Linked DNA regions of Diceros bicornis minor. The protein of the gene in region 1 purifies or fractionates together with the protein of each later gene. This does not show direct contact. Links are inferred from orthologs where the notes say so. Each region holds a gene or a part of one and is shown on either strand. Other genes may lie near its edges. The genes, in order: MGRN1 and MC1R.

Region 1 (15,219 bases):
CTACGCCAGTGTCCCCAGAGAGGGATCTGGGAGCTGGGGGGGAAACGGAGTGCTGGTCTCTAAGCACCTCCTCATGATTCCCCCCAGGGGCCCCAAGGGACACACCCAAACCATTCCTTCCCCAACAGCAGCTCCAAAGGCCACCTTGAGTGAGGAGTCCAGTGAGAAGAGCCTGCCCTTCTCCTGCAGTTTTAAAGCCCCACCCTTTAAAGCACACAGGTCCACTCCCCCTGCAGCCTTCCGCACCCATTAACACCTGAATCACAGAGAATATGACCCCAAAACAGGGCCTTTGGCTGGGTTAGTCCTCAGCCCTTGTATGCTGCCAGCCAGCGGGGGAGGGCATGGACAACAGGATTCCATGAACCCCTCACTCTCTCCCACGCAGGGACCTAAGGTTTCGGGGTTCATAACCCATTTTCACCTTAAGTGAGCCTCCCTAGTATCCTCCATTTTACAGATGGCAAAACTGAGGCTCAGGGAGCCCAGGGCACAGGATTCCCACCCCGGGGGCCACCAGAGCCCCCAAGTCTGCAGGCTGTTCCTGCCCCTCCTGGGGACAGAGTTTTTCCCCAGGCATGTCAAACCTCAACTCTACATTTTCAGTTCCTGGGACCAAGGACACCAACCTGTGCTACCTGAGCGATGGCCTGGCTGGTGCCAGGCTCTGTGGGCTGGGCTGAGAGTGCCGCTTCCCACCAGACACCTGCCTGCCCGGCCCCAGGCAGGGAGGCCATGTCTGCAGATGTGGGACTCAAGCAAACTGCCATGAATGTGGTTTTGCAAGTTTTGCCACATCCAGCCCTTCAGACAAACTGGCTGATTAGGGAGCTTCCTGCAGGGTGGGGCTGCCAGCCTGGGGGATGGCGGGGCTGGAGCTGGCCATTCACTCCTTAGAGGTCCACTCAAACCCCCAAGGTACAGAGGAGGAAACTGAGACCAGAGGAGAAAGAGACTGCCCAAAGAGACAGAGCAGCCTCCCATCTTGAGGTGGGAGGACCACACAGGGCCGCTGGTCTCCGCTAAGATCTCTGGTAGAAAAGAATACAAGGATTCCTCTGAGTGGACAGGCCACTGCCTCCTCCAGGCTGTCCGAACTGGCGATCTCCATCCCACCCCCCAGGAAGCTGAGCCCCAGAGTGCCCTGGCTCCTGGTACCTCCTGCAGGCACAAACACTTTCCCTGGGATGGCTCCCCACCGGTAAAACCGGCTTCTGGGCCCCCGCTGCGCAAAGACACTACAGACCGGCTGGGGCTGTGACCTTACACCTGTGAGGGGTGGGGCTCAGGGAGCTCTGGCCTCATCTCTGGATACCACCCTGAGTTATTTATGGGGCCAGTTGAGTTAGGGAAGCCAGGTGGCCTCTTGGCAGCACAAGCCGTGGGCACTAGAGCTCTACGGGTCAGGGAGGCCTGGAGAGTGGGGGCCAGACTGGGGCAGCCCCACCTCCTGCCCAGCTGGCTGAAAGCTACTGAACCGTGTACACCACTTCGTGCACCGTGCGGGAAAAGTCCCCTGCCAGCACGAGGAGGGAACCCGGACACGGCTCTGGAGCGGAGTACACAGATGCACAGCCGGAGCTGTAGTGTGGGGCTCCAACACACCACCGGTACACTCGTCTGTGCAAACTCGTGGGCACCATCTGCAGAACGGCGACGTGTGTGTACTCGGAACGCACACACGCCGCACCCGCGGCCCGGGTGCACTGCGTGTTTACACACACGCCAACATGCCCACACGTAGCGCGGCGCGTGCGTAAATACAAATGCACATGTACGTGAACACACCGGCACGCAGACCCTCAGATCCACACGCTCGCGGCGGCTGCGCCCTCGGGCCCCGGGACCCCTCATCCCCACCCCGCGGCACCCTAGGTGGGGACGGCGCAGGCCCAGCTCGGCCCAGGCCTGGGGCGTCCTCCTTCCGGCCGCCCGACTGTCCGTCCGGGCCGCTGCGCCACCCCGCCCTGGCCGTTACCCGAACAAAAGGGGGGGGCGGCCGCATCCCGACCGCTTGGGGACTCAGGGAGCGGGGAATCGAGAGGGCAGGGACCGGTCGCCCCTCCTGCCCACCCCACGCGGGCAGCGTTTCCGGGGGCCCCGTAGACGCGGCCGCGCCGCCGGGCCCGACCCGCACGCCGCGTGTGCGCGCCGGAGCCCGGACGCGGGGGCGCGCGGCCGCCGGGACACCCGGCCGAGTGCGCGGGCCCGACCTGGCTCCGGCGGAGCGCGCACCGGCACGTGTCCACACCAGCCGGCACGCGCGGCCACGCGGGACGGACCCCCGCGCCGGCCCCCCCGGCCCGGCCCAGCCCGGCCCGGCCGCGCACCTCGAACTGCCAGTGGGCCGCCTGCAGCAGCTGCTTCGCCTGGTCGGCCGCGCAGCCCGCCGTCAGCACGAACTGGTTGATCATGACCTGGTGCTTGAGCTCGTCCATGTTCACGGACATGGCGCCGCCGCCGCGCTGCCCCCCGGCCGCCCGCCCGCCGTGCTCCTCCGCCTCACGCGTCCACCATTAGCGAGCCGGCTCCGGCTAATACAAATATTTACTGTGCGGCTCTGACTCACCGAGCCTCGCCTCGCGCGGCCGCGCGGCACCCTGGGAGTTGTAGTCCCGCCACTTCCGCCGCGCCGGGCCGAGCGGGCGAGCTGTCGCCGGCAGGGCTGGGGAGAGGGCGTGTCTGAAGCGTGAGGCCCACTGTGTGCGGAGCCGGGCCGCACGTGCCCAGGCCCGAGACGAGAGCTGGGGACGTCCTGGTCGCTCCCGCGGCTCTGGGGGCACCTGCGCCCCTGCCTGGCACTGATGAGGGTCAGCAGGCGGGGGCCACAGACTACATGGGCGCAAACGCCGGCTACAGGGGTCTTTGCCGAGACCCCGGGACCTCGAACCCCAGTGTGGTAGGCATCCCTCTGTGTTGAGTGGGTGCACCCTTGGAGAGGGGCCCTAGGAGTTTTGGCACAAATCGGAAGCACTAGGACGCAAGGCCTTGAAAGCCTGGCACACAGTAGACGCCAATAAATACTCGCTCAGTGAATGAATGAATGAATGAATCTGCCCTTTAGGATTCTGCTCAATGTCACCGCTCAATGTCACCGCCTCCAGGAAGCCTTCCGGTCTCCCCAACGCCTCGAGCACAAGCTCACTTCGCCCACTCGTGATGCAAGTGTTACCACCTCCACCTCGACTGGCTCTCGGCCAGGCGCACAGTAGGCCCCAGGAAGGTCTGGGGAAGGGATGGCGCCCGGGACAGGCAGACGAGGCCGGCAGGTTCTGGCGCGTCAGGGTCCCTTCCCCGTGGTGCTCCCACTTTCCCACGCAAAATCCCGTGCGCTTTGCCGGAAATCTCGGTTTTGGGAAGGCGGGCGCCAGGACCGCGCGGAGCCAGTTCCGGCGCAGCCCTGAACTCCTATTCCCAGAATGCCCCGGTTTATTTGCATCGTTCGGTCTCAAATGACGTCAAGTGAGTGAGGCCGCACCTCGGCCAATGGACGGCCGCAGAGTGTTAGGACCTGGCCATATAAGGTAAACAAAGCTGGTCGCCCAATGAAGCGGCGGCGGGGGCGGGCACTGGGTCGAGGCGGGCGGGGGCGCGTCACGTGGCGGGCGGGGGCGGGGCTGGAGAGCAAGGGGGTGGGGCGTTGCGGGCTGTGTTTACAGTCCCGCACGCGCCGCTTCCGGTTGATGTCGCGGGTAGGAGAGACTCAGAACCGGAATCGGGGCGCCGGGGTGGGGAACCGGGCCGAGTTTTGGCTCAGTCAACCCCGCTCTGAATGACCTTGTCCCGGTTCCTTGCGCTCTCTGGGCCCGAGTTTCATTCGTTGAGTGACTGTTCATTGTCCCCTCACTCCGTGCCTGTCTCTGACCTGGACGAGAGCAAACCCGAGACCTGTCGGCTGGTGGCGGGGCTGGGGTGGGGGTGTGTGTCACAAATCCCAAGGACAGATATAAGATTGCAAGTGTGGAGCGTGCACTCGGGAAGCAGGCACAGGCCCTGGAGGTGGTGGGTTAAAGGCCGTTGAGGGGTTTTAACAGATTTGATCCGTTGTCCGCATTAGGATTACTGTGGCTGCCGCAGTGTGGAGACTAGATGGTGGCGGAGGGGTCCTTTTCGGATCAGGCCGTGTTCTAGGTGTGTCTGGTTCCAAGGGAGTCCGCGCCTGCTCAGCGCCTCGCCTGCAGAATTGGACTGAATGAAGGGAAGTGTCCCACACTGGGGGCTGGGGGAGGGCCTTCAATGTTCTCTGGGGAGCCCTTCCTGGGTCCCTCAACCCTTCCAGGGATTCTGGCTTGGGTTAGTGGAAAGAGGATGTGGGGGACTGGTCGACAAAGTCTGAAAGGTCGCAAGATGTCGGGGTTGGGTGGAGGCTGAGTCACCAGGATAGCTTCTGGGAGGGAAGCTTGGCACAGTGAGACTGCTTAGTGGCCCCTGAGGGCTAGAGTTGGGAGCTTGGCCCTTTGACAGAGAGAGGACTCCCAGTGTCCCCTTCCAGGTGGGCACCTCAGCCCTTGCAGAAGTTGCCTGTCCACTTGGGAAATAAGGTTTTGGCCTCTTCTGCTGCGTGAGGATCACTCAGGATCCACCACTTTTTGCAAACCTGGATGGTGCTAGGAGATTTCTGCTTTTACTAAGAAGGGCCCCTCACCTGCGCAAAGCATCACAAGCATGAATTAATGTGGGCAAAGTGCTCGGCCCGGGGTAGGCAGCTCTGAGTATGGACCACTATCGCTGTTACCACTGGGACAGCAACAGGGCATGGTGGAAGGTGAGCAGGTTCTGGAGCCTGGCTGTCAGTCGTGACTCCCACACCTAATGGCTCTGGTGGCTGGCAGGTACTTTCCGGCTCTGAGCTTGTTTCCTCATTTGTAGAACAAGGTAAGAGCGAGGAGCTCTCCCAGGACTGCTGTGGAGGATTAATGGCTGGGAGGTGCTCAGCATGGGCCTGGCACTCAGGGCACCATTTCTTGCCCTTGCCTCTTTGCCTCCATCTGGACCACTCTAGGGGGCCCAATCCCCATTTTACAGATAAGGAAACTGAGGCTGGAATTGGACCTTACACTCTTGCAGGTGTTCAGAGCCAGTGGAGAAGAGCAGGCACCCAGTGGGCCAGCAGGGTGTGTTTCTGGCAAGGGAGAGTGGGCGCTGTCCTGGCAGGGCCCACTAGGGGCTTTTCTTGCTCAGGGAGGCAGGAAGTACCTTCACCCCTTCCCCCACCCTCTTCCAGGCACCTCTCAGGTACCTGCCTAGGCTTGCCCAGCCCAGAAGGAGCTCTTCCAGGCCAGCCAGCTGGCTGGGGTGGGGCAGATGGGGCTGGCAGGAGTGAAGGTCACTTTTCTGGCCCCTGTGGCCCCCCATCAGCCTTGTTTTCCCCAAGGGCTGCAGGGAAGGGAAAAACAACCTTGTTTTCAGGCAGGATCAGCCTGGCTAGAGAGTGGACTTTGGATTTCTTAGCAGGCTTGGATGGGGCCTGACAGCTGGGGCCAGTAGATGGGGGGAAGGGGGATAAAAGGCATTTCTGAAAGGCAATGCCCTCATCTTACCTGGGGTCCAGGGAGATAGAGGGCTTTGCCAAAGTTGGCATAGCCAGTCAATGGAGGGCCCAGGGCCCTGGCCTTTCCAGCACCCACTGGCCACCTTCTCCCCGCCCCCTTTCATCACTCCATGGGTGTGAGTGTTTGTCAGACAGCCACTGGGCGCTCAGCTCTGGGAGCGTAAGAATGAATAGGTGAGGAGCCCGCCCCCTCAGGAGGAGAAGTCTAGACTCAAGGGACTCACACCAGGAAGCCAGTGCCCAGGGTCTTCCTTTATGTTTCAAAGCACCCAGTGCTGGCTGACTGATGGGCCTTGAGATCTGGCCACTTTTGACCTCTGTTCCTCTACTCTTCCCCTTACTTGATTCCAGCCAAACTGGCCTTTGAGCTCCTGGATCATACTCATCTCTTTGCCACCTCTGGGCCTTTGCACATCATGAGGGACTGGCTTACTCCCTCAGAGTTTGCCTGGTTGGCTCTTCTATTTCAAGTCCTGGCTTAAATGTCATCTCCTCAGAGAAGCCTTTCCTGACTTCTCTATCAATAGGAGGTCTCTCCTATTATTTCATTACACCTCAATCCATTCCCCCAGAGCACCCACCACATTTTGTTTTTATACGCTTGTTCACCTCTTTAGTGTCTTTCCTCACTAGCCTGCATGCTCCAGGTCTAGTGTTCCACCATTTGATCCCTGTTGCCTGGCTCATTGCCTGTCACATAGTAGCTGCATGATAAACATTTGCTGAATAAATAAATGAATCAGCCAAGATGTTGGTAGCAGAACTAGTACCAAATTAGAAAGAGCCTGTTTCCCTTTCTCCAGATAGGGCGTGGATAAGCACAGAAAAATACACTCCAAGTCCAAAGCTCTATTAAGAGGAATGTTTAATTAATCAAATATCCAGCCTGTGGAAACAACTGCCCTGGTCCAGGGTCCATAGGGAGGACAGGCTCTTAGGGTTATTTTTCAGTGGGAACATCAGGGGCCTCAGGACTCTCCCTCCCTCCCCCAAACAGGGAAGCCACTAAATTGAATGCAGTGTTGGTTTATGTATGTGTGTATCTATACATACGTTAGGTGATTTAACAGAAAGAAATTTAAAGTAAGGAAAGAAAGATCACACGGGGTGGGGCTGTCTTCACGCCCATCTGGGGGCAAGGGACATGAAATCTGGCACATTGGAGAATTCCTGTCTCTGGGGTGGCAGGGGAGTGTGTTGGTAAAAGGAGTGGCCTGGTTCAAATTCCAGCTTCATTAACACTTACCTACTATGCAACCTGAGTGGAGCACTTCACCTCTCCCAGCCTCACTATCCTCTTCTGTAAATTGGGAATGAAAATAGAACCTAACGTAGTAGGTGCTCAGTAAAAGAGGATTTTGGTTGTGGGGCAGAGATTTAATCATGCTCCTCCAAGACCAGGACTCTCCCTCATAATCACCCAAGTCCTTCACCTCTTTTCTTAGTTTGGGCTTCCCAGGTCCCCTGACAATAGCCCCTGGAAGGGTGTGGGACTCATTTTAACGTGGACTGTGGTAAATTTACCATTTGAGACTCCTAGCCAGCCGCTGCCCTCTCTAGCTGCATTCTTGATACAGCAGGGTTGACTTGAGAAGTCACTTTCTTCACTGAAACCCAGTTTCTCAACTGAAAAGTAGGTAAAAACAGATCCCCACTTGGCCTGCTTACAGAGTTTTGTGTGAGTCAAAAGCCAGGAAAGTACATTGCAACCTGCGAGGCTTTAATCCTGACCCTAATTCTAGCCAGCTTGCCTTTAGCATCTTATATGCGGCCCTCACTTCTTTGTGTCTCAGTTTCCCTGACTGTAAAATGGGGAGAGGCCTACTGCCTCTGTGTGTGTGTATGTGGAGGGGGGGCTGTAAAATTATGTCTTCAAAGTAATTGTACTGGACGTGGAGCCTAAGAGATGCCTTGAGTTCCAGAAAAGGCTAAAAAAATGTGCTTCTCCAGGTAAGCTTGGATGCCAACCCGGCTCTTTCTGGGTGGCAGGTAAAGGTGTGCCCTCTGCTGGCCGAGGCAGGAGATAAACCCTGGGAAGTGGGGAGAAACACGGTGGCTCAGGGAGATATTTCAGAGAGGGGGGTAAATGGAAGGCGTTGGGTTCCTAAAAGGGTCTATGTATGAACAAGCTGTTAGGAGGCTAAAGAGTTACGATGTTAGTGCGGTGCTTGGAATGCCGAGGGAAGGACAATTTGCGATGCGGTTGATGGTTCCTCCCCTCTGGGTTCAGGTCCGTTTGGTTTGTCCCGGAGCGCTTGTCAACACCTTCAGAGGGCCCGGGCGAGGAGCATCCTGGGAAATGTTGTTTCTAGGCGGGCTTCCTGCGCCGCAGCCGGGCGCCCTCGGCGGCGAGGGGACTCCATTTCCCAAGGTGCCTCGGGAGCGGGGGGCGGAGGGCCGCCGTGGCGTCGGGCCAGGGGCAGAACGGGTGGGGGCTCCGAGGCCGAGGCGCCCGCGGCCGTGGGCCATCGTCCGTGCGGCCTGGTCCGGGCCATGTCCGCGTGAGGACGCTGCCGCCGCCCACCTCCCTGGCCCCGGCCCGGCACGCCGCGAACCATGGGCTCCATCCTGAGCCGCCGCATCGCGGGCGTGGAGGACATCGACATCCAGGCGAACTCGGCATATCGCTACCCACCGAAGTCCGGTGAGCGGCGGCCCCGGGCATGGAGGGAGAGGCGCGGGCCGGAACGCGGCTCCGGCGGCGGGCGCGGGGACAGGGCGCGCCCGCGCGGGCACTCCGCGGAGGGTGGCGTGGGGGCTCTGCTCGGCCCGCGGCCCTCCCTGCCGCCTTTCTGCCTGGGGCTCCGCGCGCCCTCGACCCGGACTCCGGGGCGGAGGTGAGGCCCTCGGCTGACTGCCTCGTCCCGGCTAACTGACCTTGGGTCAGTCACTTCGCCCCTGCGCGCCTCAGCTCCCTTGTCTGCGCAGTGGGGAGACTCTCAGTAGGAAACTCCTAGGGCCAGGGTGAGGTGCCAGCCACGACGCTGGCGAGGGGTTGGATGTGCCCGGCGCGTGGCTTGTGCTTACAAAGTGGTCGTTGTCAAAAAGATTGACGTCACACCATCGCCAGTTTTGGCTTTCTTTGGTGGCTTGGTGTGAAGACCCCGCCACTGGTTCTGGACACTCTCCATCCCATCTAGACAGAGGCTTAGCTCCTGTGACCTCCTGGCGTGTGGATGATGGGTGGGTGGTGGGAGGAGTGCGACTGGGCCCAAGGATACGATTATAATCTGTGGGAGAGAGGCTAGGAGTCCTTGCTGGAGAACAGGAGAATGGTTGGAGGGGACCTTCCAGGCTTTCTGGTCTCCTTTTTTGTGGCTTGGAGACCTGAGCCACTGGGGAGGAAGTGACTTTCCCAAGGTCTCAGAGCTGCGTGGAAGCACATTTGGGACCAGGACCAGGACCCCGACGCCCAGATGAGTTGTTCCCACTCTGTTCTGCTGCCTCTAATGATGTGTGTGGCCTGACCCAGAACTTTAGCTCCTGTTCCTCACTCTCCATCGCCTCATCTGGTCATTTTCTATGCAAAGGAGGGAAGAGGATAAGGGTTTTGGACGTCATGGGGGAATTTCAGATTGGCTCCTCTCTCATCCTGGCTTCTGAAGCATCTGTTCTGATGTTCTGGTCTTCTAGGCCTCGCAGTTGGCCTGCCAGCATCCACTACGCCAGGCTTCCTCTGAGTGTGGTCCAGGACCACCTGCTCCCATCTGTGGGGAAGCTTGTAAAACATGCGTTTCCCAGGCCTGGCCTCGGACCTGCTGGGGTCCAGGAACCCCCATTTAAAACCTATTCCCCAGGTGAGTCTGATGTCCACTCAAGTTTGGAACTGCTTTGCCCTGGTTTTGGAAGAGGAAAGATGAGTGTCTGGGGCTACAGGAAACAAAGGAGGTGGAGACTACCATGCTCTTGGGGATGCCGACTGGCCGACCATGCTACCTTGCTAATCAGTCAGGACACTCTTTCCCACTGAGCCTTGGCTTGCTTTCAGAATCCATTAACAAACACCTCAGTTAGCCACGACTAATGAATTGGGGCTGGCACCCAGGTGAATGCCACGGGCCACCTTGATTTTGCTGCAGGTGACAGCAGTGCTCTCCTGGGCCTGTCCAGTCCAAAGGCTGTCCTCTCTGTGTCCTCGTCCCTTGGCCACCTTGCTCAGGGATGGTGAGTTGGAGGCAGAAGGGACCTTAGCAGTACTTCAGCATGTTTCTGCAAGGTCAACTGGGCACTGCAGGGGGTCTGAGAGGATTTTAGGGGGTGCCCCCATGGACTCGTCAATCACTTTATGAGAAAGTTGTTCTCTTTCCATGTCTCTGTCAATTTTGTTGATTATATCAGAGAGAATCGTTGGGTGTCAGTTTTTTTGAACACCCCTGTAATGCTGTCCAATTTTTTTCCAGCTTTATTGAGGTGTAGTTGACACATAGTATTGTGGAAGTTTAAGGTGTGCAGCATGATGATTTGATATATGTATATATTGGGAAATGATTATCACAATACGGTTAGTTAACACATTCATCACCTCACAGCTACCTTTTTTTTTTTTGTGGTGAGAACTTTTAAGATCTGTCAGAACTTTCCGCATGCACTGCAACAGTACCTAGCTCAAATTTAATAACATTTACTTTGTTTTCATCGTATTTATTTATTTATTTATTTATTTTTTGTGAGGCAGATCAGCCCTGAGCTAACATCCATGCCAATCCTCCTCTTTTTGCTGAGGAAGACTGGCCCTGGGCTAACATCCGTGCCCATCTTCCTCTGCTTTTATATGGGACGCCGCCACAGCATGGCCTGAGAAGTGGTACATCCGTGTGCGCCCGGGATCCGAACCCGGGCCACCAGCAGCGGAGCACGCACGTAACCGCTACACCACGGGACCGGCCCCAGTACTTGTTTATTTTATTCCTAACAGCTTTATTGAGGTATAATTTGTGTGCCACACAACTTATCCATTGTAAACATATGATTTGGTGATTTTTAGTAAATTTGTAGAATTGTGCAGCCATCAGCACAGTTTTAGACATTTCTATCATCCCCCCGAATTTCCTTGTACTTGTTTGCAGTCAGTCCCTACCCCTGCTCCATCACTAATCTGCTTTCTGTCTTTAAAATTTGCCCTTTCTGGACGTTTCATATAAATGGAATCATACAACATGGAGTCTTTTTGTGTCTGGCTTCTTTCACTCAGTGTGTTTTTGAGGTTCATCCATGTTTTAGCACGTGTCTGTACTTTATCGTAAGGATGTAGTACATTTTGTTTATCTCTTTACCAGTTAAGGAACATTTGGGTCCACTTCTTGGCTCTTATGAATAATGCTGCTACACACATTCACGTGGCCCTGTTCAGTTCTCTTGGGTGTACACCTAGGAGGGGAACTGCTGGGTCATGTGGTAACTCTGTGTTTAACCTTTTGAGGAACTTTCAGACTGTTTTCCATAGTGGCTGCCTCATTTTACGTTTGTTCCCACCAGCAGTGTATGAGGGTTCCGATTTCTCCACATCTTTGCCAATATTTATTATTGTCTGTCTTTTTGATTATCGCCATGCTAGTAGGTGTGAAGTATCTCACTGTGGTTTTGATTTGCATTTTCCTGATGACTGATGATGTTGAACATCTTTTCCTGTGCTTATTAGCCATTTGTATATCATGTGTGTGTGTGAGAAATGTCTGTTTGTCTTCTATTTGATTTTTAAAGCTTGGATTGTCTGTCATCTTATTGAGTTGTGAGAGTTCTTTATGTATTCTGGATACAGCTCCTTTATCAGTTCTGTGATTTGCAAATATTTTCTCCCAGTCTGTGGCTTATCTTTTCATTTTCTTGATGGTATCTTTTGAGTAGCAAAAGTTTTAAATTTTGGTGAAGTTCAATTTATCAGTTTTTTCTTTTGATGGTTAATGTTTTTGGAGTTATATCTAAGAGATCTTTGCCTAGCCCAAGGTCACAAAGATTTTCTCCTATGTTTTTTCTAGAAGTTTTATAATTTTAGCTCATACATTTAGGTCTGTGAACGATTTTGAGTTAATTTTTTTCATGTATGGTTTGAGGTAAATATCTAAGGTCATTTTTTTTGCATATGGATTGTTATTTATTTCAACACCATTTGTTGAAAAGACTATGCTTTTCCCATCAAATCGCCTGTGCACCTTTGTCAAACCTCAGTTGACTATAAATGTGAGGGTTTATTTCTGCATTCCCTTGCCCTGCAGTCCCTTGCCCCAGTCACACAGCTGGCCGGTCCCCAGCTGGGCTCTTAAAGAGAAGGCTGTGTCCCACATGCAGAAGAGAGCCAGAGCACGGTGGGTGCCCACTCAGGGGGCCTGGCCCTGGGCAGCTGCTGCTACGGTTATTCCTCCTGCTGCTCTTGTTACTGTTGTGTGTCTCAGAGCGATGCCGGCCGCCCTGCCCTGGTGTTGAGGGAGGTCATGCTGGGACCAGATCACCCAAGAGAAGTGTCAGAAGGAGGGGCCATCGGCCCTGTGACCCACCAGCCCCGGGAGGGGGACTATGCCCAAGACCTAAACCTTTGCATATCAGGTGCGTGTGCTTTCTGAGCATGTTCACTGCCATTATCTTATTGGAGCTTTGCCGTGTCCTTGTGACACCAGACTTTTGTCCTCTCTGGTGGAGGAACTAGAAATCAAACTGAGCCCTTTGTCGCCCAGCACCTGGGCCTGGCACACCGTAGGCATTTAGTAGATGCTTATGCAGCATCATTACTGCAGAAAGCAGACCTGCTCTCTCTAGTGTACAAGCTGCTCAGACTGGGTTGCATCTTATCCATGGGGTGTCAGGCGGGGGTCTGAGGACTCCTGGGTCTGCTGCCATGTGATGGATGTCCTAGACTTGCTGCGGGTGCTTTTGTGTTGATGGCAGTCTAGAAATGTCTGTGAACGCAGCCGGCGACTCATGCTCCACACTTGTGTTGGGTTTACCCTTTCCAGAGTAAGGCTTTGCCGACTCTGATTTACTTGGCTCCTGAAGGAAAGAACCGAGGCAGGTGTTCTAGACGAGGGACAACATTCTGTGTCACTGAGGGTGTCCTCTGTCACTGGGGGCATTCTGAGTCCGTGGGCCATCACTGTCCCAAGAGTGTGAGACCCACGCGTTGGTGGCATTGGGATGGGGAGGTCAGGACCAAGGGGCTCCACCTGCACACAGGGATTTCCCCCCACCCCCCGTGCAAAGACCTGCACCGTCACCGCTGGCACCGTGAGCAGATTCAGCTTCCCCAAGTGTCGCCTGTGCCAGTCACATCAGAACTAGTTTTGTGCTTCTGCTCATGGTAACTTGGTTTGGATTTTATCATTGTAGGAGCTGTACAAATAAGCTGTATTTTCCCGGCTTCCGTTGCTATATTTTGGGTAAAAACAGCAACAAAACAACTGTTAAGTTGGCCGTGGGGGGCTGGGCGGCTGAGAAGCTGTTTCCTGAAGCAGCAGCTGAGGGGGCGTGGCTTTAGGGGCCTGCTGGTGGCACTGGGGCTCTGTGGCCACTGGGAGCTGAGGTGTGTGGGGCCTTGATGTTGGAGTGTCACCTGTCGTCAGGGTTTGAGAGGGCCCGGAGCTCTGTGTGTTCGTCTCTGAGGTCCCCGCTTCGGTCACTCAGTTCCATGTGTGTCAGGGCGCGATGACTCTGGGGACCTTTCATAGTTTTCTGGGAATTGTTGAGAAACTGTCCCTTTCTGATGACTCGAAAATCACCTGGCTCTAAGTCGCCTCCTGCCCGCCTCGCCCTCCCTGGGCTCTGTGGAACATTCCCCTGCTGGATGATTCATGCTGAAACGTAATAAAACCTCTCTCGGCCCTTGGAACTTGTGCTCTCTGCAGCCCACACAGCCCGCATTCCAGTTGAGGAAAGCCCGAGCTCGGGCGGGTCTGGTCTGGTGGCCAGTGGGCCCTTTACCCTGGGCCGGGTGGTGGCTGCTGCTGTCCACAGGCCGCCATGGGGCTGAGGGCCTGGCTGCCCGGGAGAAAAGGGGCGTGTGCATGTGTGCGTGTGTTTTCTTCCTCGCAGCTGGGGTGGACTCGACAGTGTGTACGACACACCCTTTCACAAGCATGGGCGGGGAAGTCGAAGATCAGTTTAGCACTGTGAAGACAAACACGCTGCGCACAGTCCTTTGTCCCTTTCTACCCTCAGCCTGTAGTGGTGTGATGGGAGGAGCACTGGATTCTGAGTCCTGAGGCCGAGTCTGGCCCCGGCTCTGCCAATAACATACTGTGGCCTTGAGCCAGTTTTCTTGCTCTTGGGTCCCCGTTTCCCCAGCTGCACCCGTGTTAACTTCTGGATCCCCAGGCCTCTTGCCATTCTGACTCTGAGAGTCCATGTGAGCGGGCAGGGAGGGACCAAGCCCTGGCCCTGGCCCAACCGAGGTTGTGTTTTTCAGTGGACTCGCAAGTTTCCTCGTGAACATCCTGGACTTCCTGGATGACCCCGGCGGGCAGAGACCACTGCTGCCTGCCTCACTTCCTAAACCCAGTGCTGCTGGGCCAGACATTTGCACGGGGCCATGTTCCATTGGGCATTTCCCGTGTGGTCATGTACAGGCATCTGGCCTCACATTTCTTTCTTGTCCCATAAAATGAAGGGCGATGGTGTCACATACACCACCCCTGCAGCACCTGACTTGGGGGCTTAGTAAATAACTGTGAAATTGTTCAGCTCTGCCAACTGCCCCCGTGGCTGCCCAGCTCCTCAGAGGTGGGGGGAACCAGGCTCAGCCCTGGCCTGTGCCCTGAGCGGGGGTGACCATCTCCCCAGGATGGTGTCGGAGGAGGAATGAGTGAGCAGTGGTGCCCCTCTGCTCTTAGCAGAAAAGCCGATGGGTGGAACAGCGTGGGAGAGCGGTCATTTGCTCTCTAGTAAGAAATTAGTTGGCTTGCTTTCTCATAGACGAAGGTGAGGAAGCCAGAGGCTTGTGAAATGACTGACATTGGACGTCTGTCTAGCTCTGTGTCTGAAAGAAGGCCTAAGGCCAGGTAGAAAGAACTCCATTTTCTCAGTCCTTTCATCTGGCTCCATCTCGACTTGGGCCTTCCCCCTTGGTCCTGGGCGCTGCGCATCTGCAGAGCCAGCCTCCCGAGGTGAGAGACCACTGTGCTGGCTCTGGCTGTTCTGATAATGCAGCTCTCTGTTTCCCGGATCTCCTGTCCCATGTGATCTCCGTGAATGACCGACCGCTGGGTGCCTTCAGGGGGAATCAAAAGAAGGAATTGTATTCAGTTCAGTGCTTTAAAAAATGTGTGTGTATATACACACAGATATATTTAAAATTGAAGTGTAACACATTTAAAAAATGTGCACATCATAAGTGTACCGCTTGATGAATGATCACGTTGAAGAAATAGAATGGTAGCCGTCCCAGAAGCCCCGTGGTGCCCCTTCCCCATCTCTGCCTCCCTCCCTGGGAAACGGCCTCCTGACTCCATTGGATGTGTTTTGCCTTGTGAAAGATGACAGGAGTGGAGCCATATTAAAATAGAGCCGGAGCAGCCATTTCAGAGGAATTGCCTTGCACGTCTTGTTTTCTTTATCTTCCAAACTGGAGCAAACCGCCAGCCTTCCAAGAAGTCAGTAAGGACAAGAATCTCCTGTCTGTAAGAACTGATGGATCTGGACGTTTCTGATGACTGGATCGCTAACCAGTCGATGAAGCACAAGTC
Region 2 (14,352 bases), on another chromosome or scaffold:
CTTCCCTGTCCCTCCCAGGCAGGGGCCTCAATTTCCAGGAGCTGTTGAGTTTTCTCATCCTTGGGGGAAGAGTGATACCCGTCTCACTGCATCCCTGCGGGGTGCACCTGGCACAGAGCCCATACGGAGTGGTCGTTGTCATGAGTCGTTAATGCCGTCATGCTACCTCTCAGGAGAGCCCTGACCTCCCTCCTTCCCCCCAGCCAGGCCCCTCCCCAGGGCGGCAGCCGCTGCTCATGCTGAGCCAGGCACCACGCCAGGACCCGTAGGCAGGAGAGCACCCCCTGCCCATCCCAGTCAGCTGTGCTGCGATGAGGAGGAGAAGTTTGCTCTCCTCCCACCAGGGAGCCCACAACCAGAATGGGAGCGGGGAACGAAGATGGCCAAGGAACTGCCCATCCACAGGGCCGATGCCGAGCTCCTGGGCAGCCAGATCCCCCACACCCCACACCCCACACCGGGCCTGGCCCCGGGGCCTTGAGCACTTTCTTCCAGTTAGGTCGCTGGAGACTTTCCAGGGCAGGGAGGCCCTAAGGAAACTGCCCAACCCTTCCATTGGTCATCGCAGAGGGCAGCTGTGGGAAAGGAAGAAACGATTCCCCCCCCCCCCCCCCCCGCAATCCACCTCTCTTTTGTTTGAATTGTTAAAAAGGATCAGATATTAATTTTAAAAACAAACGTAAATTAAGAAAATCAACTCAAAAGGAATAATAACTAATGAGCAAACCCAAGGGCCAGAGCGCTGAGAAGCAGGAAAAAAATCTCTGCGGAGGACACTGTCCAGCACTCAGGCCGCTGCCTCCGCCCTGTCGCCGCCCACCGAGCCGGGTGTGGAGCCGCCTTTGCCTGGTGTGTGCTAGGCCCAGCCATAGGAGGGGGCACAATCGGATCATCACTCCCCCAGACCCAGGAGGGACTCAGGGGTGTGCCCCTCCGCACAGTGATCCCTGACCCTCCAAGGAGCAGATGTTCAGGGCAGGCCTGGCCCCTGTGACCACATTAATGAGCCCTGGGCCCCTCCCACCTGGCCAGGGCAGCTGTCAGCGACTGCCCCACGAGCCCTGATTTAATTTGAGACCATCGTCCCCCAGGCCTCCCCCTCCCCCAGCCCCCGACGTCGGGCGGGCACAGCTGTCTCCTCCGGTGATTAGGGAGTCTCCCCGCTACCGCCTCCCCCCATCCGAGGCGCATCCACCCTACAGCGAAGATGCAATTTACATGTCAGCCACTTGGCTGCCCCAGTCCCGTTGTAATTAGCTTTTTGTTCTTGCCTGGTTTCCACGGCAACAGCCTCCAGAGGAAGCCTTTCCTCGGCCCCTTCCCCTCCAGGACCCGTCTCCTCCCACCGCCTCCTTCCGGGAACCAGCCCGACATCAACCCGCGCTGGGTCCCTGGCCTTGGTCCTGACAAAGCCACCCCTCCCTGCATTGTTCTGGGCAGCAGACCCCACCTAGCCTGAGCCCCGCGCTGGGCGACCGCAGAGACTGAGCGCCGGAGGGCAGCGCGGCTGGGATTCGCACTTATTTGTGACCTTGGGCAAAGGACAGCCACCCGGACTTGAGGACGTGACACTCGCCTCCTGGGTTCGGATGGGGATTACGCCACCTCCCCTTCCTGCCTCAGTCCCAACATCTGTGAGTTGGGCTAACAATGGAGGGGAGAGGCCGCGCGGCGGTGCAGCGAACCATCCCCGGAGCCCGGCTTTGTTGCCACGCCCAACCCCCAGACTCTGCCGTTCCGAGGTGGGCACGGTCCAACCCCGCGGGGGGTTTGCCCAGGCGGGGCTGTGCTAAGGGAGGTTCCAGTCCTGGACCAAGGTCACCCTGAGTCCGGACCCAACTCCTCCCCCAACAAAGGAACAGGGTGGGGCCAGGAAGCCGAGGGTTGCTAGAACGAGGTTGGGGGCATGGGGATGGCTCTGCGGCATTGGAGGGCGTCCTTTTCCGGGGTTGGGGGCGGGGGGGCAGAGGGAATCATTATGGCTTTGACGGAGGAGCCCCACCCAAACCAGCCCAACCCTCCCATCTCGCTCAGGGCTGAGTTGCGACCCCAGAAAAGACGGCCACACCCAGACAGCGCCCCCAGCTGCACCTGCTTCGTCCGGTGGAGGAGGGCGCAGCTGCGGAGGGAGCTAAGCCCTGACCTGCGCTGCGCTCCGCAGGCCCGAGGGAACACCGGCAGGGCAGAGGAAAGGCGGGGCGGGAGGGGCAGGGAGGGGACCCCGGCGTCCCGGCCGCCCGGCGCGGGGCCGGCTCGTTCCTTTGTTCTCGGCTTCTCAGCGGCGAGTGCGGCTCAGGGCGCACGGCGCCTCCCTGCTTCCCTCCCTCCGGGGTCGGCTCGGGGTGGGGACGCGGGGTGCGGGGCGCGGGGCCCGGCGCTTGGGGGCGGCGCGCGGCCTCACCTTGGCCCCGATCTGGTTGCCGCACTGGCCGGCCTGGATGTGCACGATCTCCCTCATGCTCGGTGCGGGTGGCGGGCGGCTGCGGGACTCGCGCGGACTGGCCGGGGCTCGCTGCGGAGGGTCGGCAGCCCCCGCCGCCCGCTCTTATAGGCGGGGCCCCGCCCGCCGCCGGCCTGGCGTCACCGCGCGCGGCCAATCGCTAGTCGCCGCCGCAGAATGCGCCACCGGCCCTGCAGCATCAGCACCGCGCATCGCCGCCCGGCCGCGCGATGCGGGGCTTCCTCCCGCCGCCACCGGGGTCTGAGGGCCCCGCGGGCGGAGTCCGGGGTCCCCGCGCACCCGAAAGGAGGGGCTGGCGGACTCCAGGGAGGACAATAGTAGTCCCCTTGGCCCTCCGACCGCGCCCCGCCTGCCCTCTCGGGTCCCACACCAGCTGCAGCCCCACCCCAAGGCTTTTCAAGGAGGGTCTTTCTTCCCCACACCGGTTTAGGGACCAACCCCATCTACCAACCCGAAAGGCCAAGATGGACGCCTCCCAGCTCCCTGTCTGTGGCATGAAGGGACAGATAAGGTACTCTGAGCTCTGCTGGCTCCCTTAGGGGTGGGGGAGGCAGGAGAAGGGTGCAGCAGCCAGTGAGCCCCCAGAAGAAAGCAAGCATGAGGCAGGGCTCAGAAACATCTGAGTCAGAAGGGCTGTGGGCATAGGAGAGCAGCGGGCATTACTGTGGCAGCTCTGGTTTCACTGTCCTCTGCAGGGGGATGCCACCTGCCCCTCCTCCCCTAGGGGGCTGCGGTAAGACTCCACATGGACCTTGCATGTGGGGATGCTGGCAGCCACTGCTCAATGCATATTGTATCAGGAATTGTCATAAGGACACAACGAGGCCGGGGATTGACTGGTGGGGGATGGTGACCGGTGGTTTCTATCTGACTCACTCCCTGATGTCACCGGTACTCCTGGACTCTTGGTCCAGGTGAGGCCAATGCAATGCAGTGTCTGTGTGTGTGGGGCTATGTAGGGAGATGGCATGTGCCTAAGGTGGGGGTTCTAGGGTGAAAAACTGGGAAAGAGAGAAGGGAGTGAGTGAGATGGACATGCAGTACGGACATAGTGCCACACACACATACACCACTGGCTTAATAATCTCCTAGGGTCAGACGTTAAAGTGAAACCACCTTATAATGAGGTCCTTCTGATAATTCAGCAACAAAATCCTCCGGGAAGTGTCTCAGCCACAGTGTATGGACGTTCCACAAGCAGTCGGCTGAACAAGCCCGTGGGCGTGCCTGTGTCCAGTCTGTGTGCTCAGGAGCGTGGTGGCGTGGTGTGGCTGTGTATGTGCCCCTTTTGCCCCCGAAGCTCCCCAGTTCAGCAAGTCTAGAAGTGGGTCTTTTGTTCTCAAGAGATGCCCCTCCCCCACAATGTGTCCATGATGTGGCTTTCTGTGGTTGGCTTCTGGCCACCTGGGGCCCCTCCCTGTCCCCGTTCAGGGGGTCCTTGGTGAGCATTCGGCTCTTCTCTGGATCTGGCTGCACCTCCCTGTCTGAGCAAAGAAGCTTTGCAGCATCTTGTAGGCCAGGACCCATCACCCGCCCTGCCTCCCTGTGGGATGGCACCAGGCCAGGCCCCCTCCATCCCCAGAGGGCTCTGGTGCCGGGCTCAAGGCTGACTCACCGTCCTGTCTCCCAGCAAAGTCTGGCCCTGCCGGGAACCGGCTCCCAGCCCGGAGGCCAGCAGTCAGGGCTGGAGCTGCCAGTGTGCGTGGAGTGGGGACTGGCTGGAGCAGAGCTGGGGGGGACTGCTAGGGGACTACAGGAAGCTGCAGGCATTACTAGACCTGCCTTGGAGTCGGCTGATACAATCACTTTCACCTCCACTGAGCCTGTACCAAGAAAGAGGTCGACTGTGTGTTCAGTGACTGTGGAAGAAACCAGGTGGCTCCCCAGCGAGAGCCCAGGGCTCCCGGCCCCCCCCCAGACAGCATGGTCCACCCCAGCTACCCACTCCCCCAGGACTTGGGTCTGGACACCCCCTGCGGCCCCTGGACAGCCTCACCCCATTCGGGGGGGGTCTTGCCTCAAATACCTCCCAGGGCTGGCTGAGCACTGACCCCCTCCCAGGAGGGCAGTGCTGGAGGAGAGCAGACTCCAGCCCCCGGCACCCCTTGCACTGTAGACCCCTCAGGGCACCTCAAAGCAGACGCAGAGGAGGCGCATGCTCTGGCCAAGGTCACACAGGGGTCACAGTGGTCCTGCTTCTGCTGCAGCTAGGGCAGCCTGGACAGTGCCTGAGTCTTGCCACCATGGAGGTGACTGGGGCAGGGCAGCTGCTGCTCCTCACATAGTTGCTCTGGGCTGGGGTTTGTACCACAGAGAGAAAGCAAAGACTCATGGTCAGAGTAGGTGCCACTGAGGTCTCCAGGCTCTCTCCTGGGTGGTCCTCACCTACACAGGCCAGCCATGCTTTCTGGCTGGTTTGTGGGTCTTACTTCTCCCCCCTCATCACTCCCATCCCTGCTCTTGCCCTGCCCCTGCTCCTCCACCTTCAAGCTTCAAGCAACTTCTGGAAGGAGCTGAGGCAGATCAAGATGAGGCTGCACTAAGCACAGCATTTATTACCAGACTGCTTCCGGGCCCAGAGACCCTGGCTGCCGGTCAATGATTTGGACTGATGGCCTCTGCCTCAGCCTGAGCAGGCGTTGGCCAGCGCTGTCTGCTGGCCATGTGTGGTACAGACAGATGGGCTGAGCCCTACCTCTCCAGTTACCACTGAGTCAGAAGAGATGAGCACCCCCCGACCTGCCCCCCACCCCTGCTGTGGTGCTGGCTAATACTGTCCCTCTGCCCCAGGCAGGAGCTCACTTCTTCCTGAAGCAGCCTTTCGAGGTGGGGTCTTGCTGGTCACACAGTCCCGTCTCCTGAGGCCTGCGTCGGGAGCCAGAGTTCTGATCGGCTCTTGTTGCCCTGCCAACACAGACACTTCACATCCCAGTGGGTGGGCAGGGGCATAAGTCCCTGAGCTGGCAGCAAAGGTGGGTGCTGGTGGGTTCTTGCCTGGCCTCTGGGTGGAGGTGAAGCTCTCCAGGAGTGGGCCAAGTGTCTGTCCAGGAGCCCGGGATCTGCCCCTGGTGCCCATGGCCCCACCGTCTCCCCAGCCTCCTCCATTCCCCACAATTGCTCCTGGAGATTCATGCTATTCCTCCCTCTGCCCCAGAGGCTCCACGCGTCCACACCTTCAGAGATCGTCTAGGCCACCCTCTTTGGCAAGTGACTGCCCTGGTCACACAGGAATCGAGCCCCACGATGTCACCACCCCCCTCTGCCCAGCCCTCTGGCCTTGGCCCGCAGGCTACCTTCCCCTCATCAGGAGCAGAGTAGCACCTCTTGGAGTGTCTTTCGAAGCTCCTGGCTGCGGAAGGCATAGATGAGGGGGTCAACGATGGCATTGCAGATGATGAGGGTGAGGAAGAGGTTGAAGTTCTTGAAGACGCAGCCACAGGTGGGGTGTTGAGGGCAGAAGATGATGAGCGAGAGGTGCAGGAAGAAGGGGCCCCAGCAGAGGAAGAAAATGCCCAGCAGGATGGTGAGGGTGGCAGCGCCCTTGAGGCCAAAGCCCTGGTGCAGGGGGTGCTGCCTCTTGTGGAGCCGAGCGATTCCCTGGGCATGCTGGCACGCCCGGGTGAGCATGTGCACATACAGCACTGCCATGAGCGCCAGCATGGCCACAAAGAAGCTGACAAGACAGAGCAGGACGGCTGTGTGGTTGTGGTAAGCGATGAAGAGGGTGCTGGAGAGGACACTAGCCACCCAGATGGCCGTGATGACACGCCACGCCCGGGGCAGCGTCACGATGCTGTGGTACCGCAGCGCATAGAAGATGGAGATGTAGCGGTCCACGGCGATGGCGCCCAGGAAGGAGAGGCTGGACACCATGGAGCCGCAGGTGAGCGCGTCAATGACATTGTCCAGCTGCTGCACCACCGAGGCCCGGGTGGCCAGGGCGCCGGCCTCCAGCAGCAGCAGGACAGCTGTCTCCAGCACGTTGCTCATGCTCACCAGCAGGTCGGACACGGCCAGGCAGCAGATGAAGCAGTACATGGGAGAGTGCAGGTTGCGGTTCTTGGCGATGGCGGCCACCACCAGCACATTCTCCACCAGGCTCACCAGCCCCAGGCTGAGGAAGAGCCCCTCAGGAATGGACACCTCCAGGCACCTGGGCCCCGTCTGGTTGGTGGCCAGCCTGAGGAGGGGGGTGGCTGCGGGGGTGGAGTTGAGGGAGCCCAGCAGCCTCCTCGGGGGGCCCTGCACAGACATAGTCCCTCTGGGAGCAGGAAGGGTCCTCACTCTGCAGGCGTCCTACTCAGCTCATGGTGCCACCCCCAGGGCCAACCTCAGGCTCACCCTCTCCGTGGCTGGACATAGGTTGGCCCAAGCATGGCCTAGCCAGAGAGCTCGGCCTCTCCACCAGTCTGGTCACTTCCCAGTGAGGACCCCAAGCTCTGTGGCACCAACCCTCTGGGCTCTGGCATCTCCCTCTGGGTCCTCAGCCCACCTCACCACCTCTTCCCTGGAGGCGCTGTCGCTCAGGTCACACATCTGTATGCTCTTGCTGCCTTCTGGTCTGTGGGGCCTCCTGCCTCCCCAGACCCGGAGTGGGCTGGGGTCCTGGAAAGAATGGAGCCTTTCTCCGCATCTTTAAAGTCTTCCGTGGAGTCCCTCCTCCTGAGGGCGGCCACATGATGCGCGTGTGCCTGGGAAGGCATCGTCAGAAAGTGCCCACGGCACCCCGCCTGCCGCCAGGTGGCGCAAATGGTACCCAGGGCCTCCAGACTCCTGGGCACAGCGGGACTCTCCCCTTCGTGCTCCCAGCTTCGCCTGTGCTCAGCCAACCAGCATTCCCAGCCAGGCCTCCACTCCAGGTGTCTGTGCCTGTGGGGCCACCTCTGGACCTGCCCCCAGACTTCTAAGCCTCCTCCAGGCCTGTGGCAAACACAACGTCCTCCTTGAAGCTGCCCCTGATCCCCTAGCCTGCCTGAAGCTGCTCTGCCTCAGGAACAGTCACTGGCTGTTGACTGTCTGCCCTCAGCCCTCAGCCCTCACCCCCCACCCAATGTTAGATGCTCACTGAGGGCAACCCTGCCCCCAAAGACCCCCACCCCCTTCGCTGAGCACTGCTGGAGGGCACCCTGGCACAGCGGCTGAAGGAGACCTCGCTCACGCTCCTCCTGGGGGAGGGGCAGGGACAGAGCTGCAGTCCTTCCCTGACGGCCCCATGTCCTCTGCACAAAGACACCACTGGCCAAGCCAGGAGCCACTTTAAGGGCAGACCTCTGTCTCCAGCCACGTGGGGCACTGTGCGAGCCAAGCAGCGTGGGGAATGTCCCCGGGCACCGGGCTGGCCTCACTCCCAGCACTTTCTCACTTGAGACTGAGGACAAACCCTCCTTTGAAGGCGGAGGTGGGGGGAAGGAACTGTTCTTCCCATTGACAGGTGGGGAAAACGAGGCAGCAAGAAAGGCAAGTGGCTTGTTCAAAGTCAGACACAAGCCCATGGTGGAGGCGGAGCTGGGAGGGAGTTCCGAAGGAGGTCTCGGTGTCTGGAAATCGTGTGTATCTGTGATCTGCCTGTTAAAATCTGGCCCACATCCACCTGACTACCAGATGGCCTCCGACAGGCAGTGCCCGCACGCCCACGTTACACGCACTTGCGTGAGTCATTCCTCGTGTCTGCACAACTTACAAAGCTCTTCCTCCCTTTGCCTGGTTTGTGCTTTTTATTGAAGTACGTCAGTACATGAGAGAGCACAGATTCTAAGTATGCAGGTTGGTGATGCCCCAACCTAAACACAGCCTGGAAAGCAGCGCCCAGATCAATCAGTGAATAAAACATGAATGGCACCAGAACCCCTCTTCCTGCCCCAGGGAGCCCACGAGGTTAATTTGCCTCTTTTGGAACTTCATACACGGGGGCTCAGCACTGAGATGTCCTTGCAGCTGCGTGTAGTGCGAACCCTCTCCTTCCCAGACTGTGCCGCAGCTGGTAACGGATGGACACACTGGGTGTTCGGGTGCTGTGTCTCCCCTTACCAACAGTGCTGCTGGGCATTCTCGTCCCGTATTTTGGTGGTGGACATGTCCGCTGGGTGACACTAGGATTGGGAGGGGGTGGTCAGAGGCATATCTTCAGCTTTGGCAGATTCAACCAAACCACTTTCCAAACTGGTAGACCCGTCTGCCTGCTCCCGGCAGTGCACGAGCCCCCCACTCCCCACCTAGAGGAGGGTGGAAGGATGGCCTTGCCCAAGCTCCCCAGGAACCAGGCCCAGGATGGGCCCACAGAGCACACACTCCCTCCCAGTTTTTTGCCCCCCGTGGACTTTGCCCCCTCACTTGCTCCTCCTGGTGGAGAGCCCCACAGGAAGCAGAGGGTCCCAGGCCATGATCATGGGGCAGAGCAGTGGCAGGCCCAGGTGGCTGCCCTGAAGCCCCAGCGTCCCTGCCACATGAGTCTGGACTCCCCCTGCAGCTGTCCACTGCCTGGGACCACCTTCCACCTCTGGGGCACCGACCAAGAGTCTGCTGGGTGAGCAGTGCCCTGCCCCCAGCTTCTGTGTCATCACATTTCAGGGATGTTAGTATTCCTAGCTCCATAAATGAAGCCTTTGAGACGGACATGCCTGACCCCAGCCCCCCTGCCCAGCCTGAGACTTCAAAGGGCGTGAGAACCGGGTAGCCTTTGGCAGGCGACCGCAGCCCTCTTCCTGGTGAGGCCTCACGACTCTTCATCTGGAGGTGCCTGCTGGGGACTCCATGGGAGTGAGACAGCAGACATGGCTGAGCTGGAAAAAGTCAACTTTGTGAGGAGTTATGGTTATGGGGAAAGGGTCTAAATGAAATCACAGATTCCATAGGCCAATTATGTCAACTCCATCTCCAGTACACCTGGGAGAAACTGAAGTGAGGAACAGCCAGGAGACAGGCGGTGGACACAATTGTCCCCTCAGAGCAGATGCCACCGAGACCATGTGCTGGACCCACACGTGGGGAGGCTGAGACAGGAACCCACTTGGTCTTGTGCACTCGTGTCCCCAGCACTAAGAACAGTGCAGGCACACCGTAGGTCCACAATACATGAGCGTTCAACGCGTGAGCAAGCTCTGTGGGGGAGGTGGGGTGTGAAAAGCCTCTCACTGCAGAGCAGGCGGGGGGGGGGTGCCTACATCCAGCCATGGCCACACCAGGGAGGTGGGGGTGACTGCCTGACCAGAAGGCCCAGGCCAGCCCCTGCTTCCTTCACAGAGGTCTCCCAGAGCCAGCCAGAAGGCACACAGCCCCGTGAGCAGCCATGCGGGGGTGCAGCCTGCCCCTCCTGGCTCTCGTCGAGTGGGATCTCAGGAAGGTCCAGCCCAAAGCTGGGTCACGCTGTCTTGCAAGGGCCGTCTAGCTTCCTTTGAACTCGGGGAGGGGGGTGGTTTGTGTGCCCACCTTGTGGTGTCTGCGCTGAAGACCCTGAGGTGGGGCCTGACTCCGTGGGGAAGGGCACAACCCATTAGCCATCCTGCCCATGGGCAGCACGGGCCTGGAGGAGCTGGTTTACCCTTGCCTGGACACTGAGTGGCAAGCCAAGCCTTTACAGCCAGTGTTCCGCTGGGAGGGACCTGGTTGTCCTCATCTCCACTAAAAACATGACCTGATATGACCAGCATGGCTGAGCACTGACGATTTAATGACCTTTTGGGACAGCAGGGCCGGAGGTGAGCAGTTTCATCACAGGCTGGGCCCAGCCTCTTTCTGCTGCACTATCCCAAGGACACTGGCTCTTCATTTTAAAGTTCATTGACTCCTGCCTGGTTGGATGGCTGCTGCAGCTCCAGACATCACATCCCTACCTGGATGCACTTAAGGCTGGAAGATGCAAGATGCCACGCTCTCCTCGCTTACCTATTGTTTTCAGAGAACAAACCCTTTCCCAGAAGACCTCCAGCAGACTCCTGTTTTCCTGGCTGAAGCTGATCACAGGCCACTCCAGTGGGGGACAGTAGACCCAAGACAGGCTTGGATTATCTCAGTCATACTTGACCCCTGGAGCTGGGTGTGGATCCTCCCACCAATTTACTGTGGTGGCACGGAATGAGGTGTGGGTGAGAAAGACAGACAGACTTCACCGTGTCTGCAGGGGCACCCTTGCCATGGGTGTTTGAAACACAGGGTCTGTTGATTCCCAAACACCGGGAGCCCCTCAGTTGAGATCTGCTGAAAGGATGACTTCACAGGTCTCCCCAGTAGGTGACTCCACATCAATGACCAGGACGCCGTTGGGGACTTCTGGGAGACAGGCCGATGGACCAGGACTCGGGTAGACATCGACAGATGACCGCCCTGGGGCCCAGATTCTACCCCAAAGCACATATACAGCGTCTCCTCCCAACCCATGTCTGCTGCCTCCCGGGGTGGAGGTCAGGGCCAGGAGGGTGCCTGCTGGACAGGACACCTCGGGCAGCTCACAACCTTGGTATCCTGGATCTTTCCAGAACCAAACAGGCTCCTGAGTCATAGGCAGCCCCGAGGGGTTCTGAGCTGTCAACCAAGTGTGCCAGGACCCACCCCAGCCGACGAGCCTTGCCCCCATGCTCCATTCACCCCCGGATCAAATGCCCCCTAATCTCTGCCATGTGCATCCCCCAGAACTGCCAGGACATCCTTTCCAAAGCCCACCTCTCCGGCCTCCCCTCTGCCTCGGCACTGCCCTGGAGTTTTCCACTGAAACAACTGTGTCAGACTGGACGGATTCTGTGTCTTTGGTGCCCAGCGTGAGGACCCGGTGTCAGCCCCTCCAGCCCTGGGCCAGCCTGTTCCAGGGTCCGACTGCAAGCACACCCCATGGCGTTCAGCAGAGATGTTGCACTAGAGACCTGTGAGACCCCTTCTCTACCCCTGTGCCCCAAATTCTGGAGGGAAGGGTGGCTGGAGGGAGGACTTGGCTAGGGCTTGGGCTCGGTGTGTGATTGTGGGTCACGTTCTCGTCTGGGAAACCTCGGGGAGCTGTGCAGATCTGGGACCTGCCTGCCTTGCACTGGGCACAGACCCCAGCCCCGGGAAAGGAGAGCTCACGTCGCACAGAACATAACCCATCATGTTTATGGGAGAAACAGAAGAGGCAGGCGGACAACACATCAGTATTTCTACTTCAGGGAACTGGCCAATTCAGACCAGAACAGAAATCAGGAACATAATTGTACAGCGTTGGGGCGGGCATCTGTGCCGACTCAGTCCCACTCCCCATCTCCCTCGGGGTTGTCCTCGCGAGGTGCCTCCAGGTCGTGGAAGTGGAAGTTGGCCATCATGTCTCGCACAGCCAGCATCAGCCTGTTCAAGCCCTGGTTATGGTTCAGAACCCCGGCCCCTCCATCCTCTGGCCTCTCCCCCTGCAGCAACGAGATGCATCTGAGCAAGGGCTGTCCTGGGCCCCCGGGCCCAGAGCTCCCACCCCACCTTACCCAGGACCCTGTCAAGGAGAGGAAGCTCCTAAAAACCAAACACACGCGTCTAACAAGGCCAGGCCCAGAGTGGATCAAGGAGCCGTGCTGACTCGAGGGGCTTTAGCTCAAGTTGCAGCTACAGGCTCGGGCAGGCACGCCCCTGGGTGCCCCTGGGCTGCTGCAGTGCTGGCCCCAGTAGGCTCTGGGGCCAAAACGGACTTGCCTGAACCCATTCAACAGGGAGAGCCAAGATATGCTCAACATACCTCCATGGTGTAATTTGGCAATAACGACCTAAAGAAGAGGGCGATCGTGTTTCCGTGGCTGACAGGACTTAGCCTGGAAAAGAAAATCAAGAAAGGTCAGAAAATGAAGCTGAACCGATACTTCTGTGTCCCCTCCCCATCTTGGCAGGGTTCCAGGAAGGCAGCCCCAAGCAGCAGCTGGGGAGATGGGGAGGAGCTGAGCTGCGGCCCTGGGCTCCCACAGACAGGTGGGCAGCCAAGACTCTGATCAGCTTGGGGTGGGCTGTGGGCACCCAAAGGCAACTGAGGAGACTGCTCAGGCCTTAACAGAGTGGGGGCCTGGCCTTTCAGGTCCTGGCCCACCACAGCCAAGCTACGTATCTGCCACTGGGCAGGTGCCTTGCTTTTAAGAAAAGGTGTAGTTTCCAAGTGTTCTTCAGCACTTAGGAGTGGTGGGAAGATGAACTGGTCCTATACAGAGAGAAGATTCTAGGGCCTGTGAAGCGAAGCCCCTCCTCGTCACTAGACAGTCAAGGAGGCCTGGAAGCTGATGGCCTACAGAGCGCACAGCAGACAAAGCTCAGAGTCAGCAGTCCTGCAACCAGCCCTCAGCGCCACAATGTCTAGCATGTCAGCTTTTTGTGAACCCACTGACAATAATAATTAATAATTTTCCTCTTAATCTATTGGAGAATTTAACTGGGAACTACTTCCCTGTGAACACGCAATCCAACTTCTATAATACAACTTAGTGAGAAAAAAATGCAGAAAAAGACAAACACCGTAAGATTTCACTTATATGTGGAATCTAAAAAACAAACGAACAAAACAGAAACAAACTCATAGATACAAAGGACAAACTGGTGGTCACCAGAGGGAGGGGGTGGGGGCTGGGTGGAAGAGGCAAAGGGGATTAAGAAGTACAAACTCCAGTTATAAAATAAATAAGTCACAGGGATGTAATGTACAGCACAGGGAATATAGTCAACAATGTAACAAATTTGCACAGTGATAGACGGTTACTAGACTTGTTGTGGTGATCATTTCGTAATGCAAAGAAATGTTGAATCACTATGTCGTACACCTGAAACTAATGTAATATTGTACGTCAACTACACTTCAATGAAAATGAATGAATAAATGCTTGAAAATGGGGGGTGGGGATGGGGAGGAAAGAACTTCATTCTACAAAATGTGTTCTCCTGATGTCTAGAAAGCACGTGCTCCCTTAAATGGGAAAGGGTCTGGGACTCTTCCAGATCTATGGCTTTGTGGTGATGTGTTCTAGGTAAGGCAGTTACTCAGCATTAAAGACCAGAAACAAAGGAAAAAAGAAGCTTTTTCATGATCTAACTATGAAAGCCATCCACACCTCCACTGGCAGCCTGCAGACTCAGGCTTTGCTGTGCTCCCACTGCCCTATTCTCTTGGCCAGCCACATGGGCATTCCTTCAGTTCTCTGACTGTACCTTGTGCTCTGTGCCTTGCACAGGGCCTTTGCACATGCTGATTCTTCTGCTGGAATGCCAGCAACCCTTCCACCCTCTTTATGTGGTTAAGGCACATTCTTCCTTCATGTTTCAGTGTAACCATCTCTTCTTCTCCGAGTCTTATCCACCACTCTTTCCCAGCAGTTTCTTACTGCAGTTTTCCTTTCTACGTTTACTTCTAGATTCTATAATCAATGTCTATTTTCCCCACTGCACTTTGCGCTCCACAAGGGCAGAGGTGGTATCTTACATCTCCAACACCTGCTACAGAACCTGACAGAAATGCTCCTACCTTAGACAAATAAGTGAAAGAACACAGCCCCAGATCACACTGCTCTCTGAGGCCTGTGTCTGAGTCCCAGGGAGCCCCGGAGCACTGACCTCAGCGCCGTATAAGCAAAGGAGCACAGCGGGGGCGGAGAGGTACCTCTCTGGTCTGACGTAGGAGTAGATGGTGTCCAAAGGAGGCAGAGGGTCAAAGCCCATCACAGACTGTGTGGTCACATCCTTCAGAAAGGGACACAGAACGGAGATACCACAGAGCACTGCTGGTGAGCCTCTGCCCTCCTCCCAGCAGTCTCGAGCTGATTCCCATCTGGACTGGACCTTTCTGGAGTCGGTAAGTCTGACAGAAATGGTCCTTGGCTGCAAGGCTGTGTTCACTCTACTAAGACATGTTGGGTGAGGGGGTGGAACAGCCTTTCTTCCACCAGGACACTCACTCTGCCCACTCAGAG

The links.
Region 2: the proteins of MGRN1 (region 1) and MC1R purify together in Homo sapiens (affinity purification with western blotting; 3 studies listed by BioGRID). This does not show direct contact. The link is inferred for Diceros bicornis minor from reciprocal best matches to the Homo sapiens genes MGRN1 and MC1R.

Annotation. Positions count from the first base shown.
Region 1 is NC_080765.1:43,953,202-43,968,420, reverse strand, and holds the start of MGRN1 (E3 ubiquitin-protein ligase MGRN1), read left to right. Parts: upstream 1-8,015; 5' UTR 8,016-8,107; coding exon 8,108-8,195; intron 8,196-15,219. Other genes in the region: UBALD1 (UBA-like domain-containing protein 1), read right to left, coding at 2,331-2,450. UniProt on the Homo sapiens protein: E3 ubiquitin-protein ligase. Mediates monoubiquitination at multiple sites of TSG101 in the presence of UBE2D1, but not of UBE2G1, nor UBE2H. Plays a role in the regulation of endosome-to-lysosome trafficking.
Region 2 is NC_080771.1:38,237,136-38,251,487, reverse strand, and holds MC1R (melanocyte-stimulating hormone receptor), read right to left. Parts: upstream 7,219-14,352; 5' UTR 6,716-7,218; coding exon 5,765-6,715; 3' UTR 5,730-5,764; downstream 1-5,729. Other genes in the region: TUBB3 (tubulin beta-3 chain), read right to left, coding at 2,402-2,458; ribosome quality control complex subunit TCF25, read right to left, coding at 11,668-11,826, 12,147-12,219, 14,043-14,122. UniProt on the Homo sapiens protein: Receptor for MSH (alpha, beta and gamma) and ACTH. The activity of this receptor is mediated by G proteins which activate adenylate cyclase.